Yarrowia lipolytica: one gene and its partner. The protein of the gene in region 1 interacts with the protein of each later gene in a biochemical or structural test. Links are inferred from orthologs where the notes say so. Each region holds a gene or a part of one and is shown in the gene's direction. Other genes may lie near its edges.

Region 1 (3,123 bases):
CTGCGTGCGATTACAAGCCACTCCGTATTTTTATTCAAATCATCATGTCTCTCTCAAGGAAGGGGGGTTTGAAGGGGCGACGGGAAGGCTATAAACAAAGCAGCCGCCCTGTCGTCGCAGAACACCGAGCCCTGCCTATCTGTTCACTAGAAGCTTTTACACTGCCTAGAACAGGTACAGCGGCATAATATCTCAAGACCTGCGGTACTTGTGTACACCAGAAGCACAAAGCCCACACCAATCTCGACTGTATTATTTTAATGCGAGATGCGAGATGCGAGATACGAGCTCACAATGTACTGGTACAAAGAGTCTTGTGACAAGAGATGTCTGGGTGAGTTATAGAACACAATGACGACCTCGGTTCAGATCACGTGCAGAAACTACAGTATAGCTCTAGTATGTCTTGACTTCTACGTCTACGGGTACTACAAAAGTATTGCACTTTTTTAACGCGAGTATCCACTGCTATTCCAACTTCGATAGGAGTAACTGCTTCTACAGGTACTGTACTTGCACAGTAGCTTACTGGAGCTCGTGAATAAGAGGCAACACCCATCGATCTGGTATAATCCACTCACCCTCATATCTATCAATAACAATGAACTATAGCAGTATACCTTTTAATTAGGCCGTCTTGGGCTTGACCTTGTTGCTGCGAAGCATGCCAATGACTCCGACAACCAGAGCCACAAAAATGGTGACAATCAGATCCATGGCAGCGTCACAGATCATCAGCCATGCACTAACGCTGACAGACCCAAGAGGAGCAGAAGAGAAGGATAGGATGTACTCAATTGGGTAGGGAAAGGCGTTTTTAGGGAGCCAGAAGATAGCTGCCTTTCTGTGCTTGATTCGCAGGAACATCTTCATTCCGGTAGTTGACAGGAAGATGGCCGACGAGATGATTGTGAAGAACCGGGCCTTAGAGGCCGTCAGCGAGTTGTTGATGTCTTCAATCTCCACCTTGAGCTTTCCGTACTCTCGATCCAACTTTGCCCATTTTGCAAACTGGTCCTGTGAGCTGGTATTTGATCTCTGGGTATGCACCTCAATTGCTCTCAACTGAGCTTCTTTTCTTCTTCGTAGCTGCTTGGATGGTACGATTCTCGTAATGATTTCCCACAACTGAGTTAGCGACAAGTTTTTGGGGCACTCCCACTCCTTAAGCACTCACAAATTCCTGAATGGCCGGCTTGCCCAGCTTGCTGATGACCTTGGCGTAGAGCACCACAAACGCCACTAGCAAGAGCAGTCCAGCGGCAGGGGCTCGATCGATCGGCACAAATTCGCCAGCAGTGGTCCCCACGGGGGCCACAAATTCGGCATCCACAATGATCGCCTCGTCCATGTCGTTTGTTGTGTGTATGTGAATCGAGAATGCAGTCGTGAGGGCTCACTAATGTTGTGTGCTTACTACGCCCATTAGAGTTCACTATTTTTCTCTGTGACTTGGAGGTTGGGAGGTTCTTTGTATCTGAGAGTTGGAGCAGCGGTTCGAAAATTTAAACAGGACCACCAAGCTCGACGAAAGCGCGCGTTTACCCGTTCACCATCATCTGTGGTGGCATTACCTGACTTGTTGACATCTGGAACCGACAGACATAGAAACTGCACACGACAGGGACACTGCGACGCTCTTTACCATCTGCCACGACCGCCGTCCCCTCACTCTACAGCCACCCCAACACGGAGGGTTTTATATGGAGGACAAACTACTCGAATACAACATGACAGACCCTTCTTCCGAGAGCGAGGAGGTCGAGACCTGGATCTCGCATTACTGTTCGTCGACCGGCCACGATTACTTTGTGGAGGTGTTTGAGGATTTCATCGAAGATGACTTCAACCTGACCGGCCTCATGTTCCTAGTGCCCTACTACAAGGAGGCGTTGGAGATGATTCTGGATCTCGAGCCCGAAGACCCGCTCAAGGTGCCATCCATCCCAATGTTTGAACACTCGGCCGAACTGCTCTATGGCCTCATACACGCTCGATTCCTACTCACCAAGACGGGACTGCAGATTATGGCCAAAAAATATGACGAGGCCCAGTTTGGCACTTGCCCACGATACTACTGCGACGGAACACGCCTGTTGCCCACAGGCCGACACGACCTGCCCGGATACGAGTCTGTGCGGCTCTACTGCCCGTGCTGCTGTGACGTCTACGTGCCGCCCAACTCTCGATACCTCAACGTCGACGGAGCCTTTTTCGGCACCTCCTTCGTGGGACTCTTCCTCAAGATGTTCCCCGAGGTCGAGCGCAACTGCATTCCCCTGCGTAAAAACATATACGAGCTCAAGCTCTTTGGCTTCCGCATCAACGAGATGAGCTACAGCGGCCCGAGGATGAAGTGGCTGCGACAGTACCCAGAGGACCCCAGTGTTCTGGATGAAGAGGACAAACTACCCCCACCACGAACCGACGAAAAGGATGATGATGGAGATGTAAAGCTGGAGACGGACCAGGAGAACCGGGCATGAGCATAAAGGTGGAACATGTATTTAATGACTATGAGACGACAGCCGAGAGTAAGGGTTCTAGTAGTCGGTTCAAGCACATCAGTTGACTACTTTTAGAGGCCGCCAAGTCTCTCTTAACTTTACCGTTTGATTACAACGACTTGCTATAACAGCTACAATCCATGGCAGTAAGGAGATGAGTCACATTCGACAATCTCCCCTCCCCTTAGCTCGTCGCATGTAATACAATTGGTTATAAATAATTACTGAAAAGGAAATATATATATTGTTATTGATAAAAAAAATACGTCAATTACCGTTTATGGTAGAATCAACAAGTACTTGTGGAGTAGTTCTCCTCCATGTCCCTCATGCAAATATATCCAAGCCTCTCTTGCTCTCCCTCCATAGCCCCTGGAAACTAAATCCAAATCTCCTTGGTAATGTTCTGTCGCTTCTGACACTCGTATACGGCAGGAACAGTACCGGAGGAAAAGTAGCAGTACATGTTCTTGATGTATTCGGGGGAGCTTCCGTCAGGAACAAAAGGGCTCTCTCGGTACTCGTATCGCAGGTAGTCCTCTCGACCAGTCTTGTTGTTGACAATGTACTGGATGGCATTGTGCCAGAAGGTGGCGTTCAAGGGAGCAGACTTGGG
Region 2 (3,492 bases), about 1.2 Mb from region 1:
AAGTAGATGGGCAATGCGGGAGACGATCCGGTCTTGAGGTAGACGGATCGCACGCCATCAAAGCCGTTGGGCAGATCGGCAGTGAACTGGTCAACCACGGCGTAAACGTTGGCGGCAATCTCCTTGGGTGTAAACAGAGTTGTGGCCACTCGCACGTTTGTGTGGTTGGACTGGCTCTTGAGGTACCAGGTGGAGGTCATGATGTTGGAGAGGCCCTGCTGGGTGGCCTCGACATCAATGTCTTCAGTCTCGACCACTCTCTCGGCCTTGGACTTGATCAGAGTCTGTTTTTCCTCCTTCTTGTGCAGCACGGTGATGGGCAGAGGCAGCTTGACGGCTCCATTCTTGTAAAAGGTCTTGCCCAGGCAGAAAGGCATCTCCTCGGTGATGTCCTCGTCAACCACAAAGATGTCGTGTGCAGCAAACAGCTGTCGTCGGGCCTCGTAGGGCTTGAACTTGCCTCGCAGCTTCTGTGTTCCAACCACTCGTGACAGAGCGGGGGTGGTGGCGCCCTTGAGAGCTCGCTTGTACGAGTTCTGAGGGTTCTGGGACAGCAGGCAGATGGAGGGCTGCTCTGCACTCTTGGTCCACAGACCGTGGGGGACCTGGACCAAGGTGGGGACCTGGGCCTTCTCGGAAGACACAAACCGCTTGGAGGTGATGACCAGGTAGATAAACTGCTCCTCGTTGTCGTCGGCAAGCAGGTTGTTGGCGTCCTCTTCGGCCTGCTTTTGGGTGAACTTCAGCAGGGCCTGGGCAGCGTTGATTGTGTTGTCGGAGGATGCGAGAGGGCACGACGAGGTCTCGGCGGTGGACACGGAGGATCGTCGTTTAGTGGGAGTGGCTTTTGAGGGAGTATCGCCCTTGGTAGGGGTGTCAACAGCAGCCTTGGCTGACTTGGTGCTCTTAGGAGTGCCCTTAGGAGTGCCCTTAGGAGTACCCTTGGGGGTTCCCTTGGGGGTTCCCTTGGCAGCGGATTTGGGAGTGGCTACCTTGGACTTGACGGGAGTGCCCTTGGGGGTTCCCTTGGATGCGGATTTGGCGACCATTGTTGGGTTGTGTAGTCTGGTGTCTGGGTGTGGATCGCAGGCAAAATAATTTTGGCATAATCCTAAAAAAATTTAAGAGCTGCAGATTTTCAAACTCAAACTGGCGGGTGGATTTGAGCAGAGCCAATTGAGGTATTATCAAAGATTTTGACTGGGATTATAGCATTTGTGAGATCATTAATTCGCATATATACTTGTTCTAAATAAAACCCACTTTTTCGCTTGTCGATCCGACACCTATTGGTCTAGATATGGTGGTCCTGTTCTCACTACTCCCTGTCGTCTATAGTTCAACTGAACGTTACTCTGACTGAAGTCCGACTACCATTGGGAGGGCATATCGAGTAGAGGAATGTGTCGAATGTGTCGAATGTTACGAATGTGCCGACAGTGTCTGGGTGGCGTTCTGTGTGTGTATTGTGGCGGTGTTTGTCTTTTAATGGGACGGTGTGATCTATTTGGAGGTAAAATTTTGAAGAACTCACTTAATAAACGTTTAAGTATAGTTGACTCTACTTGACCAGTTCAGTTGACTATAACTTTGTCCCAAGTAAACGTCAACTATGACTAAGTGAGGAAATCTACATGTCAACAATCTACAAACTGTACAGTACAACGGATTTTTTTATCTAAAACTCTGCTGACTAAATTAAACGGTCGTTTCGGATCACCTGATATCTCACATTACTCTCCAGCTACCTTCATTCACCGTCTTGATCACCTCCTGGTCGATTGCGATTGCCCTCAACGTTGCACCACGTGACTTTGAGTTTCGATACAATATCGCAGAATCCAAGCTCTGCAGAGCGTCTCTATCATACACACAAAAAAACACATCATGGTGAGTACGAGTGCTGGAGAGAAACATATGGTTTGGACAAACGACTGATTAGTTTGAGAGCAACTACAGAATGTGGTATCATCGGCAATAGAGGGACTTCAGACATCACTCTACGCGATGACATACATGAGACGCATTACAAGGGTGGTTCGAGACATGACACGAACGAGGATGTACTTCCGGCTGGTTCGGTTCGACCATCCCATAGGAGTGTCTTCCTATGAAGTCGATTCGATACTATCGGCTTCTCATCAGCGACTGTAGTGAAGCACGACGACATGGCCTCACCGAGAGGTTGACCCTGAGGCCCCATTGAACCGTGTTGGTATTTATCGTGGTGCTCATCTGACTTTTCCGTTCGGGTTATCCACAGCCGCTGAAATATCTGGGCGCCGCTTCAAGCAGGCACGAGATGGTGGTCTGGTCACGGTTTTTTGGTTTTGCTACATTGTTCGATTCGCCGCTCAACATGCTTCTTTCATCAGGTCGAATCTAACGTCTGGTATGATTCATGAACAGATGTGCCGCGACCACTCCACCTACTCTCGCTCGTTTTTGACATCTGCTAACACAGGGAAAACGAAAGTCTTCCTCTGCCCCCGCCAAGAAGGTGAAACAAACGCTGGCAACCCAGTTTGCATGCCTGTTTTGCAACCACAACGACTCGGTTGTGTGTTCAATGGACAAGAAAATGGGCATTGGCAGCCTATCGTGCAAGGTGTGTGGCCAGTCGTTCCAGGCCAGCATCAACGCTCTGTCTGCGCCTATCGATGTCTACTCCGAGTGGATCGACGCCTGTGAGGCTGTTGCGGAGCAGGAGAAGAACAAGGATGACGAGTTCATTGAGAAGGACGGAGGCTATGCTAGTGACGACGACCACGTGCCCAAGGAGGAGGACGATGAGTTTTCCGATCTTGAGTAAGGCGGAACTCACAGGGCGAACAAACAGTGCATGTATAAGAAAAGAATGTATATTAAATGTGGATGGGGTGGAAGGGGGGCATGCTGACTTGCTGTAGGAATGGAAGGGTACCCAAAGAAAGGGCATGAGCCGCAGTGTCTAATACTCGTACAATTGGACGAGGACTTCTTATGGCATCACTAGTATCTACAGTACAGTATGTACGGGTACGAGTACGTACCCATACATTGTGCAGCTGTCAAATACAGTACTCATTTTTTGTACAAAGTCCGAATAATTGCTCCGGAACTTGTCTGACAACTCTTGTCGGGCCATTTTCTCTCGGTGCTTTCTTTTTCCATTAGAGCATGTTTACTCATCCAGTACACGATCCCTGATATGACAGTCATGATAGGGTTGCGATGTTATTGAGAGCGGCTCGAGTTTCGGGATGTCCAATGCTACAGTCATTAGAATACTGTACTTGTAGGGATATGAACGGAGTATATATGTGATCTATTCAGCTTGTGACGTGACAGCTACGATACAGCAGAATGGTCCGGCTCTACACCAACTCTCCACAAGCATGTCCCTCAACAGGTGCGCCGCTCACTATCGTACTTGTAGGGAAACCAAACAAGCGGTGTCTTGTATATGCGATCAATTAGCTATTTTAGTGCGTTTATTCAGCAAGCTTGGGG

Evidence for each region.
Region 2: the proteins of YALI1_E24793g (region 1) and YALI1_E12711g form a complex in vitro, tested with the Saccharomyces cerevisiae proteins (2 studies listed by BioGRID). The link is inferred for Yarrowia lipolytica from reciprocal best matches to the Saccharomyces cerevisiae genes CKB1 and ELF1.

What each region holds. Positions count from the first base shown.
Region 1 is NC_090774.1:2,477,913-2,481,035, reverse strand, and holds YALI1_E24793g (uncharacterized protein), read left to right. Parts: upstream 1-1,703; coding exon 1,704-2,486; downstream 2,487-3,123. Other genes in the region: YALI1_E24797g (uncharacterized protein), read right to left, coding at 628-1,128, 1,178-1,351; YALI1_E24762g (uncharacterized protein), read right to left, coding at 2,887-3,123. UniProt on the Saccharomyces cerevisiae protein: Regulatory subunit of casein kinase II/CK2.
Region 2 is NC_090774.1:1,269,277-1,272,768, forward strand, and holds YALI1_E12711g (uncharacterized protein), read left to right. Parts: upstream 1-1,887; coding exon 1,888-1,890; intron 1,891-2,464; coding exon 2,465-2,812; downstream 2,813-3,492. Other genes in the region: YALI1_E12703g (uncharacterized protein), read right to left, coding at 1-1,049; YALI1_E12730g (uncharacterized protein), read right to left, coding at 3,474-3,492. UniProt on the Saccharomyces cerevisiae protein: Transcription elongation factor implicated in the maintenance of proper chromatin structure in actively transcribed regions.